2 linked regions of the Styela clava genome follow. The protein of the gene in region 1 interacts with the protein of each later gene in a biochemical or structural test. Links are inferred from orthologs where the notes say so. Each region holds a gene or a part of one and is shown in the gene's direction. Other genes may lie near its edges.

The links.
Region 2: the proteins of adenine DNA glycosylase-like (region 1) and DNA repair nuclease APEX1-like form a complex in vitro, tested with the Homo sapiens proteins (3 studies listed by BioGRID and IntAct, with this or other methods). The link is inferred for Styela clava from reciprocal best matches to the Homo sapiens genes MUTYH and APEX1.

Annotation. Positions count from the first base shown.
Region 1 is NC_135258.1:10,284,518-10,292,420, reverse strand, and holds the start of adenine DNA glycosylase-like, read left to right. Parts: upstream 1-4,703; 5' UTR 4,704-4,705; coding exon 4,706-4,917; intron 4,918-5,464; coding exon 5,465-5,662; intron 5,663-6,519; coding exon 6,520-6,709; intron 6,710-7,200; coding exon 7,201-7,903. Other genes in the region: amine sulfotransferase-like, read left to right, coding at 2,767-3,705. UniProt on the Homo sapiens protein: Involved in oxidative DNA damage repair. Initiates repair of A*oxoG to C*G by removing the inappropriately paired adenine base from the DNA backbone. Possesses both adenine and 2-OH-A DNA glycosylase activities.
Region 2 is NC_135256.1:4,929,548-4,937,330, forward strand, and holds the start of DNA repair nuclease APEX1-like, read left to right. Parts: upstream 1-4,620; 5' UTR 4,621-4,807; coding exon 4,808-4,906; intron 4,907-7,028; coding exon 7,029-7,094; intron 7,095-7,537; coding exon 7,538-7,573; intron 7,574-7,783.

The DNA of each region.
Region 1 (7,903 bases):
CGATACTTGTACAGGGGGCTATGGCCCTATCTGCGTGTCTACACTCCCGTGTTATTGAACACACGTTAACAGAGTGTAACTCCAATCTAGACTCCTTCAGAGGTCAATTAAGCACATAATGTCTTGAATGCCAAATGTTTTTATATTGTAAAGTTGCACTATCGAATTGATCCAAATAACGAAATCATTTTAAAACCTTAAAGCAAGTATAGGTGATGAAACCAAATTTCTAACTAACAAAAAACGATAAAGACAAGCAACACTGAGCAAGATAAAATATATCATATATATGGGAAATGAATGAGAGCAACGACCTTGTTTCAGGCAAATAACATGCACTTAACAATACGTGGTGAAAATATTAAAATACACAGTAACTATCCTAATGTACCCGCTACATTTGCATCTTGCATTTTCGTCATTAAACTGTAAAAGGGTGTAATTATTCACATGTTTCGGTGTTAAAATACCCATGGCAATCTTCCAAAAGATTGTTGTCCCAATCCTCACTTAAAATACTGATAGAGGTATTATATCGTAGATATAACACCATCGATGGTATGCACATTGGAGATAACGGCTATCATAGATGTGAGCTCGGATACATTAGACTAGAGATTTCCGAACGGGGCAAAATTCCCTGGGAAATACATTTTTCTATTTTAGGGGATACCATTTGGCGAACTGAAAATTTACCTAAACAGTTTTAACGTGTAATGCTGTAAAGCAAGCTAAAAATTCTGAAATGATAATTGCATTACTGAACATTCGGAGTACACAACGTTTGTTATCGCGTCGAACAAAATATGTATATCGAAAAATTTGCTGATTTCTTGAATTATAAATACCGTAGAAGTGTATGGTCTATTGTTGCACAGAATAAGTCAGAAACCGGGAAACGGAGTATTTTGATTGAACACCCGCTAAAGAAGAGTTTCTCTGCCTCTACTGCGTATGTTGTTGTATATTTTTATTATTGCTGCAATGCTTGCTTTTCTGGTTGAAGAATAATGAATCTCTCTCTCTCTCTCTCTGGGAATAAAGGTCAGAAAAACATCCATTCCCATCATTGGACATGCTTTTGTTGTGAGTTTGCCTGCAAAATTTGCAGCCGAGAGGCGAACTATCTGACAAGCGGCGAGACATCACCTCGCTCTCAGCTTTATCGAAATGGCGCCGTTGCAGTTCTGCATTTCATGAGATTAAATTGCATTTATGTTCATTCAAAAAACCTTTATATAATATAGCGTATAGCAGGACGCGTACGGAGGGTCATTGCTCAATATAACCCCCTGGAATTAACTAGTCTACAACTTACAGACTTAAGAACTTGAAGGTGAATTAACACACCAAGGACTCACAATATGAGTTGAAAACAGCAAAATTCCACAAAAAGAAAACACATAATATATTTTATGCTTCTTTGTTTCATCCAAATATTCTTTTATCTCACTAACTAGCCTATGTCCAGATGTCTGTATGTGATTGTTATTGGAATCTCCGGCAATTACAAATTCAGTTGTTGTGAATTGAGGTGTGCTCGATGCATTTGTGTGAAGAAAGATACCAAAGAAGTGATAAACCATACGTGTGCAACGAAATAAAGAATTGAGAACGGACTAGGCTATAACGGATATGCAAGAAAGATGAAAACCGCTGGCATATGTCGAACAAACCATCCCATAATCAGGATTTAGACTGCAATTCTTGTCAATTAAATTTTGCTTCCAGCAACAAATTAGCTAAATCACCTGGAAGTGATGAAAATTGGCATATATATATCAATATTACTTTTACATACGAATGGAATTTCCCTTAGCTTTATGTATATCTGAAAGCACAGATGTCAATCGAGATTTCGCCTTTTTGAAATTTTTATTTCTGAAATCTCTTCCATAATTTTCTCAAGCTTGATTCACTTCACTTAAAAATATTGTTTTCTTATCAGCATGAATTCTAGAATCAATAGGATTATGTTGTTAGTGAGAGAATTGCATTCTAAGTTATAAACAGACTCATCCCCCGATACTCGCCTCTATAGCAACTGACAGTAGGCTAGTGGGCAAATGTATGAGCTTCTAAATTTAATACCAAATTTAGTTTAAATTATGATTATCCGATTTACTTTCAGGTAAGACAAAACAAGGATTCTGCAGTTAAAAGTATTTTGCTAGAAAACTGATTGAGTTTTTTCATCTTGTTCAAATTTTGGGTCAATTTAATGATTCTTCTGAATTTTGTTAAATTCACATTATTACATTGTAAAAAAGTATTTTGTTAGAAGACTGGTTGAGTTTTTCCAATTTATTTGATTGGGAAGACGTTGAAACCATCCATTCATACCCAATATATTTTTTGAAAGGAGGATCTTGTTCGAATTTGGGTCAGTTTAACAAATTTTGTGAAATATACATTATTACGTTTTATTCAAGTATTTTGTTAGAATACTGATCATGTTTTTTTTTTCCATTTCTTTTTCTTTTTGATTGAAAAGAGGTTGAGAGTATCAATCAATACCCAAAATGGTTTTGAGACCCCAAGGCCAATCATGTTCAAATTTCAATTTTTGGGGGAACTTTGTTTAACTTTCTGTTTTTCACATTTATACAACATTTTATTGCATCAGTTACATAACGCAGTAACGAGAAGAACTTAAAATTATTCTGCAGTGGGAATTTGATTTATTGTAGTAATATAATACAGTAATAATAATATATCACAAAAACTTTTTTGGCGTCCAGTCCTGTGTCATGATAAATCTTCAGGATGGATTCCTTTCCTGATGATATCAAAACAAAAATTGATGAAGTCAATCAGTTTATGAATAATTGGAAACTCAAACCACAAACATGGAAGAATATTCGTGGAATTGCGGCTTTTTCTATGGATGCAGCAAAATATGCATACAGAAATTGGGAACCACGTAAAGGTGATGTCTTTATTGTGACTTATCCTAAATGTGGAACACACTGGATGTATGAAGTTATAAAGCAGATTTATTTTATCAGAGATTCGAATTGGTTGAATTTTCTTAGTCCAAAGAGTGGAGGATTTCTTTCTAAACCCATTTATTTAGATCATGGGCCAAAAGCCAAGTTTGAAGTCATGGATCACTTTACTCGTCCTCGTATATTTACCACCCACTTACCGGAAGAGTTGGTTAATTTCGAGAAAATTGTCAAAAATGATGCAAGAGTCATTTATTTATATCGAAACCCAAAAGATATGGTAACATCATATTTTCATTTCAAGTCGTCATATCCATCACCTCCGGAGCTTGCTCATCTTCGAACAGACAATTTCGATAAATTCTACAAACAGTTGATAAATGGGGAAATGTGGACGCATGTTCCTGAAGGTGAATGGTACCCCTATCATATCAAAAGTTGGCTGAAACACAAGAATGAAAATTGTGTGAAATTCCTCTCATATGAAGACATGAAAAAGGATTTCCATGTTGTTGTCAAGTCAATCTGTGATTTTTTAGAAGTTGAAAGAAATGAAACAGAAATTGCTGAAATCGTTAAACGCTGTTCAATCACCTATATGAGGAAATCTAATGAAGGTGAAGAAAAAATGTTTTATCGTAAAGGCGATGTTGGTGATTGGAAGAATCATTTCACTGTTTCCCAATCTGAAATAATGGATGATCATCTTAAAATTGCTATGAAAGATGTTGATATTGAGTTTCAGTATGTAATTTAATTATACTAAGTACCAGTAGCTTGGTTCGAGGCAACTCAAGAAATTACTTTTAAAAACTGCTCACAGCCAAGTCTATTTTTTCAATTTATCTATTATTGGATTTTATATTATTGTTAAATTCAATATCATTCTTCTGATTATTTTTTATTGTGCAATCCATGTACGGTACCCAATTTTTTACTGGTACATTATTGCATGTATGTGTGCTTCTATCAACACTGTCGTGACCACATAATTATGTTTAACTCACTGTAAAATTATGCATATAATCTTTATTATCACTGCATTTGTATTCTCATGCAATTGAATTGTTAAAATTTTCTCAATATTAATCCTCGTTGACCGTCATATATTTTATTGTTTATTGATAAAGGTGTTCATATTATGTAATAAATGATAATAATTCCTCATCTTATTTCTTTGCAGTTTTGGGAATGTTAGAGACTAGAGTCAATTTTGACTCTATTCACCATTTATCAAAAACTTGTTGTGTTGTGTCTCTGGGTATCCGGATAAAGTGACTTGGACTCGTATTAAATTACCGCAGACAAGACTCAGCTCAGTAATTGACTTGACTTGAGCCTTTCATTAGCTGTGGCTTGGTAACTTTGAGTTTAGGGACTTCAACCCGAAACATTTTTTTTGCATTTTTATTTAAACAATACTAGTAAATAATAACTGTTTAGCTGCTACTTTGTCAACTATTTTTTCCTTATATGCAACGCCTGCGTAAAAGTGTTTTGAAATCTTCTCATTAACTTCATTTGACATAGTATTTTATGATTTATATGACGCTTATCCATGCCTTTCACTCGAGCAAGGTTTTGTACATGCAACCACCTATATATATGCCGTCTGCTCAGAGCAAGGCGCTGTACAAGCATGAAGATATTTTGATTATACATTCAGTACTATCTGTGATGACTGTAAACGAAAATCGCTGCACTTTATTAATTGAATTATGTAATCTTTCAAGTCTACATTAGTTAGTACCGGTAATATGAAAAGCAATAATCCTCACACATTTGATGAAGAAAATATTTCATTGATACAAAATGAGCTTTTGGATTGGTATAGACAAAACAAACGCGACCTGCCCTGGAGAAGAGCAGCATTGACTGATAATAAACAACAACATGCTTATGCTGTTTGGGTTTCTGAGATCATGCTCCAACAAACCAGAGTGACCACAGTGATTGATTACTATAAGAAGTGAGCAACTTAGATTGCAATTTGAGAGAATCGCTTTCTAAATAAAGCCAAAAAATCAACTTAATGAATGCAACAGTATGTCAGACTATAAAGAAATCTTCGAAACATTTAAACTAAATCAGATTTTTATGAGTACATACTTCACTCTTGTAAAGTCAGTTTCAATTCCAATTGGGGTAGAATAGATGGTAGTCATGAATTCCATTTGTTATAATGTAGATATTAAATGATGTATGTACTAATACGGGATGTCCTAACTGGAGAGGAAATTTCACTGTGTTTTTGTGTGATATTATTCATTCTTATTGTAATATATATATTGGCCAATTATAGACCATTCAAACAGTGCAGTAGCTGATGATAGTATGATACCTTAAAATTAAACAACAAATGGAAACAGGCTTTTCATGCATAGGTGGGGTGAATGATAATTTCAAAATAGGACTTACTGGCCCATTGGATTAAATTTTTAATGAACATGTACTGCAAGTTCACACAAATCCTTTGTTTCCACACATAACACAAAGTTTGTTTTTTGTATTGAAAGGTGGATGTTAAAATGGCCGACTGTTCACGATTTGGCCAAAGCAAATATGGAGGAAGTAAATCAAGTGTGGGCTGGCCTGGGTTATTATTCAAGAGCAAGGAGATTGCATGAAGGAGCCTGTAAAGTTGTAAAAGATTTAAATGGACAAATACCTGAGAACGCGACTAATTTGATGAAGCTTATTCCAGGAGTTGGTAGGTGAGTAAACAAACTGGTTCATGAATGAGTGCTTTTCAATCGATAAACATAAATTGTTGGGATATTTGTTTGGAAACACGAATGTTCATATTTGCACTGACAGTGTGCTAATTCAATTCTAACTCAATTTGAATCGAATAGATGTTTTTCATATCATTTTTGAAAACATGTCTAATAACTGAAAAGGACGAAAGACTGTTCAATTTTTTTTAAATGTATTTGTACCCCAAAATAGTCATTTTCTACTTAACTTTGAGGTAAAACAAGAACCTAGACCAGGGGTCTCGACCCCAAATTGGGTCGGAGTGATGAGTAGGTAGGGTCGCAAACAGGTCATGGGGTCGGTCGGGTCACTGAGGTATGATAGAGGATGGATGTACATATCATCTAAGATTTGACAAACCATGTTAAATTTAGCAGTTTGTACCATGGCTTACTGTAAAACAGGGCCGTAAGCATCAAAAGTCCAGTGAAAAAAGCTCTAAAGATTCATGAAAAATATATATATTGACCTGGGGTCGCACTGGACTCTTGAAAGTTGTCGAACCCCTGACCTAGACCAATGATAATGAGTAATGTTTTTGCGCACTCCTGTTATGATACTGCATATTTCTTGTTGGTGATATTGATCCTAAAAAGGGGAATGGTTGTATCACAATTGTGTGTGTGTTTAAGGAACACCTTATCCAGGTTGTAATAATTATTTAAGCAATGCCAAATTGGTTCTGATCCTTCCTAAAATTGAAGTTCCTAAGGTATCCGCGTCTGCATGTCTACTGTCTAGAATCTTGTTAGGAGTTAAATGTAAAAACTACTTAAAATAATATAAAAAAAATATTTTCATCAAAATACACCAGATATACAGCTGCTGCAATCGCTTCAATAGCTTTCAACGAATCAGTTGGAGTTCTGGATGGAAATGTGATTCGTGTTATAAGTCGTCTTCTTACTATTGGAGGTGATGTGTCTTCAAAAAATGTTACTGATCATTTATGGGATCAAGTCGACAAAAGCATTCCATCTGATCAGCCTGGAGATTTTAACCAGGTAGATGTAATATGGGTATTTTATTAAATATAAATAATATGATATGACTGACCAATCATAGGACCAGTGGATCTCTATCAAAAATTGCTCTTTTAGTTAACATTATATTATTGAAACTTCTCCAGTCAATAAACTTGCTCATTTTATCTGCACTTTTTTTGTTTATAGACTTATATTTTGCTATTGCAAAAATTTAAATCCAAATGCCCAATATATTTTAATCAAGCATTTACCCGTAGGTTGTATCCTACAGAACTTTGAATCATGTTCATTAAATTTCCACTTGCTATAAATTTGAAAAGAAAAATTAATAAAACTTTTATTCTGACTTGGCTCTTCGCCCTCTCTGGAAATGGTGAGAAATGTCTTTATTTTCTGTAGAAGTTTTTCATCTGTCATCCTTATTCTGTCAGCTCAATCAGAAATTGTATCCAACTGTTTTTTTACATAACTACATGCCACATGCGAAATTTCATTTATTAATTTGACAGGCAATGATGGAATTGGGAGCTTTGGTCTGCATGCCAAAAAATCCTGTATGCTCGCGATGTCCTCTACGAAGTGTTTGTAAAGGTTATAAGGAAGTTGAAAATTATAAGAAAACAAATACAATTTCTGTATCAAACTTACTGTTAGGTAAAAACAACAACAAAAACAAAAGGAAAGCATCAGCAGATGGTGACAACTCAAAAACACCAAAACGAGTAAAAGTTGAGATTGAAGAGTTGAAAAGTAAAAATGTTGAGGATATAGAATCTTGTACGATATCTTTTTTAAAATTTCCAGTTGATAAGCCATGGCTTCCAGCGCTTGGGGTCATGAATTACCCTAGAAAAGCAGATAAAAAGCCGCCAAGACAAGACATTGCCTTATTAAGCGTGGTTGAATTAAAACATGTTGATAATGAATCCAAAATGTTGGTTACTCAAAGGCCGGACACTGGACTTTTAGCCAAACTGTGGGAATTCCCTACCCTAACTTTAAATGCTGAACAAGTAGCACATAAAAGTTTCAAGAAACACTTTTCTGAGAAAGGGACACACCCAACAAAACACACAATAAATTATATATCTGAAAACACAGATGGTATGTTAGAAAAATATTTGTCAGGACTTGTGATCAAGTCTAGATCACATGTTGGTGAACTAACGCATGTATTTTCACATATACATCTGAGGTATATTGTGGAACATA
Region 2 (7,783 bases), on another chromosome or scaffold:
TTGAATAGAGCAGGAAGTGACGTATATTCCACCGAAACCCAACAAAGAATGGGAAAGATAAAAATAAAATATTCAATAGCGCTTCTGAGACCAAAGCTCTACCATGCACAATAGGCTGCAGTATACGAATGATCTTTCAAAACATGACTTCATCTCTGTGGAACATATTAGTCACGTAACGTTTTATCTAAGGCTTGACAATTCAATACGAAAACAGAAAGAATATTTTTGTCGCAGAAAACAAGAAAAAAATAAAGTTGTCTTTTTGCGCGAAGACGTCTGTTTATATAACAGAAATATTATTTATATTTATGCCTGAATGAGTTTTTTCATAATTTTATTCAATGATGAACAAGGGAACACATGTCTTTGTAAAACTATTTTCCATAGACCTTGTACATACGTATAGTATGCCTACGTTGAAGTATTTGTGTCACATTTGCGCATATCTTTGCGATCCTAAAGACATAATTTCAACTTTTTCTAATAGCTAAGACTTGGCTATTTAATACGAAAATAATTTAAAACATTCGTGGTTCTAATTTTTTTTATTTCATTTTGCCATTACTGTATAGCTAGTATTTAAAATCAAAGTGGTATTACAGCATTAATATCGTTATTTTACAAATTTTTTGATAAGTTTATGTGAATAGGGAAAGTAATAACTCCAACCTCTTAATTTCAGCTCCGTGAAACTATAGTTACATAACGTTTCATGTAAGGCTTGGTAATTCAATGCAAAAACAGTAAGCGATGCATATTATTGTAAAAAAAAGTAGAATATTAATTTGCAATAAGACTACAAATTTTGTTTTCCCTAAAATATAAAATAGAAATATTATTAATAAGCCGGTTAGGATACTTTAGAAACGATTTTTTCACAATTTTATTTATTGGTGAACAAGCCAATAGGCATTCAAAAACGATTGTACATCGCCCCTTTACATACGTTCCCTGAGTTTTGTTCTTTTATAAATTTATAATTCTTCTTCGTGCTTGTTTACATTCCTATTGACTACGGATATAAGTTTTACAAACAATAGAGACTGATTCTTCAGTTGGAAAAGGAGGTTTGGTCAGTATAACCAATTGTATCTTGAAATTTCGTGTCAAGGTTCGGGTCAAGTAGACATTATTCAACTTCCTGCAATAGGAATCTTGGGATCAACTGAATATCCCCTCCCCTTGGACCCGCCTGGGGAGGAGATTCTTCAGTTGAGTTGGACTCACCTGGAAGGGGGGGATTCTTCAGTTGATCTTAGTTGGGGTAGAGATTCTTTAGTTGATCCCGTTTCTCAACTGAAAAAAAAATATTCCCTTCCCCCAACCAACCTAAGCCGATAATACCAGTTGATCCTTTATTTGACCTGGGCTAATTATTTGTTAGGGTTAGATGGTCTTAGTTGGGGTGAAGATTCTACAGTTGGTCTTAGTTGGGGTGGAGATTCTACAGTTGGTCTAACTTGGGGTAGATATTCTTCCCCCTGTAGGGGGAGGGGGATTCTCCAGTTGATCCAAAGTTTGTTCTCTAGTCCAGTGTTTCCCAAACTTTTTCGGCAGCGGACCCCTATTTGTGAATATCAATTTTTACGGACCCCCATCCTATGCCGTATCAATTTCTGTGTCTGATCAACGAGTAAGGATAATGTTTCATTTACAACACAACGCAAGCGACATTAATGTGATGGGTGAAGTTCCTTTTCATTCCACAATTTATCAATTGTCGGAGCAATTTGTATCTAGCAAACTCTCCGACAACTATCGACCTGTATTTTGTTGTCATATTGGTAAGAGCTGTAAATTCCTTTCCACACACATATATAAGTCGTTACAAAAGGCAAGAAATGCGTATTTGTTCGAAACGCTGCGCAACGATTTTTTTTTTGATTGAAATCAATCATTAAAGATTGATCAAACTCGCATACCGTTGCGGACCCCCCCTGCAGTGATTACGGACCCCCAGTGGTCCGCGGACCCCAGTTTAGGAAACCCTGCTCTAGTCTGGTCTAGAATTTTACCTGATATATAAATTCTATAAATATAATTAAATTCTTGGCGTTTCAATCACTTTGATGATTGTGGCATTGATACGAGCACGAGCAATGATATTTGCGACAATTGAATTCTTAAGTTTGGTTAAAAGTTATATCAGCAGCAGGGGCGGACACTTTCCATAATTTTGGGGGGGCGAACTTGGATCGCCTACCGAAAAACGCCGCGCCGCGCCGCGTATCGTCACGTAACAATAACCTGTCGATGTCATTCTCTAAGTATTAGCATGTCATTTTGCTACTGATATATCGAGTACCTGGGCTGCTTTGCTCGGACACGGAACTTGCGCGTCACTGATCCAATTTCTTGAATTCCGCGAGAATTAGCCCACGGCTCTTGCTAACAAACAGAAAATAACAAATTGAGGAGTATTAGGTTATTGTTTCAATTCCTAGTTCTGCATAAAGCGCACTAACGTCGTTTCGTAAAATTAAAAATGCAAAACAAGGTAACAAGCTATTGTGCGAATTTTTTTCCTAAATTTTACCAAGGAATTATCATTTGACTAGTAGAATTGCCATTATTGCCGATTTATTAAATCATCATTTGAACTCGAAATAACATTCAGGATTCACGCAATGACTTTGCAAAGTCGGAACTTCACATTGCCGTCTGCAACAAGCACCGCGATTACGCGCTCGTTAAAAGAGCCGCCTATTTAAGCGTATAAGGATTTTTCTGTCGATCCATGACAGCCACGAGATTCTAAAATGTTCTTATATATTAATTTAATAGGATTCACGCAATGACTTTGCAAAGTCGGAACTTCACATTGCCGTCTGCAACAAGCACCGCGATTACGCGCTCGTTAAAAGAGCCGCCTATTTAAGCGTATAAGGATTTTTCTGTCGATCCATGACAGCCACGAGATTCTAAAATGTTCTTATATATTAATTTAATAGTGTGCAACGTAACTCGCGGTTGCGACTTTTTACGTCAAAATAAAAATATTACTAAACTAAAGTAACACGGTGATATGTTTGCCTAAAAATATGAGATAAGCTGCCTGATGTATTTAATTTTGATACCTATTTTTGCAATCTTCCGAACTCGTTACCGCCGTAACAAAAATCTCAATATCTGATATAAAATCCCATGTAGTACAATTTTAATTCATACAATGAAAATAATTATAAAGTATACTAGTAAATCAAAAATACAAATTCACCGCCTCGAAATCCACGTGGAACAGTCGCCGCGATTACGCCACTTGTTAAAAGAGCTGACTTTATCAACGAAAAATGATTTTTCACTTGTGCCAAGTAATCGAAGACCGATACGGGCATAATAAAAATGTCTTGATTTATTAATTTAATTGTCTTCAATTTAAACTGCGGTTGATTCGACAAAACAAGAGCCACTCTAAAACACGACGGCAATCCGCGGACATAAAAATGTGTGGTAAACTGCCCGTTTATATATTGTTTTGATCCGTATTTTTGCTATTTTGCGAATTCGATAAATTTGAGATGTACATGTCACACTGGCTCCGCTCAATCGCAATGTTGTCACTCCGATTATTTTTAAAGATAAAACCTTTCGAAAAATCCGTAAATTTTCTGTCAATTCTCACGTAGTAAAAGTTATTTCAGTACAATAAAAATACATAAATAAATACAAAAAGTGATCGAATATACTTTAATTATCTTATATATCATCACAAACCGGGGAAAAGTCGCGTTCTCAGCTTTGTTTGTTAACACGAAAATTTTACGACGTCAATTTAAAAGTAATGGATAAAAAGGCAAATCCCGCTCACAATTGACCGTGTTTCGATTTTAGTGACGAAATGTTTTTAAAGGTCAAGCAAACATAATTTGTGCCGTAGGCACACGAAATTTTGCGATTTTCGATGCCTAGAAAAGCGTTTATAGACTGTCGCGGGCCTCAACAAAACTTATATTGTTTACATTTTTGTTTTTAGTATTTTATATTATCGCTTTTCAACTTTTCGACATAGTAAATGCTTTGATCTTTGCCCGCAAATTATGTTGGGCCTTGCACGAAATCCATAACATGAAAAGATACGTCCAGCGGTGAAAATTGTTTATAACAACTTTAGATCTAGTTAATTTTTTAGCGATAATAATTAATTGTTGTAATGAAACACAGTTTGCCTCTTTCACTTCTCTCGCAAGTGCCAACAATAACACTATTGAAAGATTTTGACAATGAGAAAATCATAATAAATTGTACAAAAATGAATTAGTTGTGCTAAACCGTTGCGCGTGATCGGCGATGCGTTTGAAGACGGAGTATTACCCGTGCGGGCGCGCATGTTTCACGAAAATATGAGGTGCTCCGAAGGCGCTCTGGTCCACATTATTGTAAGAAAACAGTTATAATATCGGTAACTATTAACTGTTTAATTGCGCTTGACTATCGCACTTTTCGAAAATGATAATTTCGTAAGGCGGAAACAACATGTATTAAATTGACATGTATTAAATTGACACCCCATCCCCCCCCCCCCCCCCCCGGGTGTCCGCCCCTGATCAGCAGGTAGTAGAGGAGGGCGTTCTGTTTCCTGACTACGAGCCAAGTAGCTGGCCAGACCAGTATCATTTGAACGAAAAATAAACAAATGTTTTACACAACAAATTGTTGGGCGACTGAGAAGCACGATTTGTTTAAAATAAAATTAAAAAATATCTTTTCATTTTATATTCACTCAACACGAAGATCACCAGGCCATCTGACGCCCCCCCTTCGACAGAGAGACCGACACGTGCGTGAGCCCTGATAAGCGGCATTTATGAGCCTGCAAATATTCGTTCGGGCAATTTCTAGTATCACAGTAACGCAATTAAGTCACCATATTTTTGTTCGTTCATGGTTATGCAATATGGCCAAGGTAAGCTATGTTTGCTGTACTATTTTATTTTAATTACAGAATTATACTGGGTGATATTATGGTGCAGTGCCGCTACACCACTGGCAGACTGCTATGACTGCAGAAGACTGAGGTGAACCGGTACCGTACCGGCAATTTGCGATATATTTTTGTGTTGTTGGGTAATTTACCGGCACCTTGGAAGTATGCAATTCAAGAGTCCTGCTGCACACTAACACAAATATATTTCTGTAACGTTTCATCTGACCAAAATCAGACTTCCTCAGACAAGCAGTTTACAACAATGACAAGAAAAGAGCAATCATGCAGTTTAAATATGGCGATAAATAAATTTGTTTGAAATTAATTGTGAGCAAACAATGAAAAAACAATTATTGATATTCAGAAACAGATTGCGAAATAAAAAAATGCAATCGGTTCTGAGCATGGAATAATTGTTCCGCGGCGTGCTTGATTTCACAATAAGTTTCACTAGAACATTTATCAATGTGTTCTAGGCTCAGATCTTGATAGCCAGGGTCCTTATAATGTGATTCTTTTAAAGGCGTTGAATTCTTTTTAGTATTGCTTCTAAATTCTTTTCTTGTGGTAGTTGTCGAGTCCGGAGTTTGGCAGGATCCATTCGGATACAGAAGTCACGCGAAAAAGGCTAATATAACGATCAGTAGAGGTTGCGCGAGACTAACTCCCAATCCTTTCTCTATGCCTTTGCGCTAGTGGATCCGTATGCATGTAATGCAAGGATGCTGTAGCAGGAATAAAATACCATAATATGCAATTCAAGAGTCCTGCTGCACACTAACACAAATATATTTCTGTAACGTTTCATCTGACCAAATGCAAAGGCATAGAGAAAGGATTGGGAGTTAGTCTCGCGCAACCTCTACTGATCGTTATATTAACCTTGGAAGTATCTCACATTTTTCCTATTATTTAGGTGTGTAAACATGTATCCAGTGGTGTGATTCAGCCGGTTCTATAGAACAGGGGTCCTCAAATACCGTACCGTATGGGATCGCGACCCATAAACCCTCCACTCTGGGTCGCACAACAATTAAATTAGCCATAAATATAAGCAACTACAACTTTGTAAACCTCTAATTATATTTATGGATGTTCAACATCCTTATTTACTGCCGTAACATTGGCCATTCAGCATAAGTGCAAAATTTAAAGTAACAATAAACGTTTTAGCAGCATGCCAGCATCTCAGACACTTTTGTGTCAGACATATTTTCATGGTTGTGAATGTTACCTCATTTTCGTGTGCTATTTGTTAGTTTTTAGTTGTGTTTTGGTAAATATAGGCTAAGTCTAAATCAAATAACTCAATAGTCATTTTGTCTTCTTGATTGCAGTAATCAAAAATTAGTCTAAAAATAGATCTGATAGGCTGGGCCAGGGTGGTCCAAACCCAGGCCTACGGGCCACATGTGGCCCGCAGTCTCATTATCTGTGGCCCGCGTCCCTTTGATGAAGGGTAATCGAAAAATCGCATTTGGTGTTGTTTCGTCCTAAAAATAACAGAAAATCTTTCCGACATCTTGTTACATCACTAATGTCACTGAATTGACTAGTGTCACAGCTAGCTGAAGCAACTTGCAAAGTTGAATAGTGTGCTTGGGTAGTCCAAATTGTTCACTGGCTTTCTATCGCAAAAAGTTAGAAAAAAAAAAATTTGTGTCACGCCATGAAGTAGTTGCAGACTCCTGCTATAGAAAGTCTCACAGAATTTTTGAGATCAAGTAGCTCGCATGTTTCTTCTCAAAATGTGAAATGATCAAGTTCGCACATACCAGTTATGTCAATTAGGAAATTATTGAAAATAATTAGTTTATTTGCTAAAAAAATAAAATTTTGTAACAGAACCGGCTAAAAAATTTGACTTTTGTGATGGAGCCGGCTGGCATAAAAATTTGATTCTCACCACTACATGTACCGGTAACACCTATTTTAACAGCATCATTCAATTTAAAATCTGTTTGTTTTAACCCTTACTCGAGGTTTTGTTTGCTCTCCTGATTTGGAATCAATTTTTTTTTTTTTTCATCATTTTTTATTATGGAGACTAAATAAACTTAACCAATCTATCCTTCACTAAAAATATTGAAAATTTTGACAGAAACAAAAAACTGAAAAAAGAGCAGCAGAAAGTTCAGCTAATGAAGAAGAAATTGTTAATAAGAAGGTGAGTTTGTGCTTTTCGGATCGCACCTACGATTACCGTCTGTAAGTTCGCAGGTTCGAATCTTGTGTAGAATAATTAGCCTATGTGCGAGAGGATTGCCGAAATCATCATCGTCGTAGGGTAACTGCATCGATTGTATTTTCCCTCAGTTACATGCCAATGCATTCCCTCTATGATGTATTTACACATGAGGGTGTTAGTAATTCGCTTTTGCGTTTGAAGCGCACAAACGTGCTGTGATTTTTAATATAATAATTACATCACTGATATTCTAGATTTTATTGAAACCATCTGGAAAGACATGATACCTTTTCCGATATTTTATGGTTCAAATCCCTAGAAAAAAATAAGTCGAGTTGCCCGATAAGCTGACTCAGAAAGTCACGCCAAAAATAGGCTTATTAGTCAGAAAATACAGTATATATATTTTCATATCTTTGCAGGCCAAAACCAACTATAAAGACGCTACAATAGGCCAGGTAAGATGGTTATTTTTTTGGGGGTTCTTTTAGTGTAACTGATTCAAAATTCTGTGAATTGGATTATGGTGGACTGGGTATGCAAAGTAGTACTTTTGAATTCAGGTTCAAAGACAAAAAGGCAACTTTGGAAGTTTGAATTCGATAATATCACAAAGAATTAGGTTTTCTTGAAGCCCGCATCAATTCATAGTTAGCAGCAAAATTCAT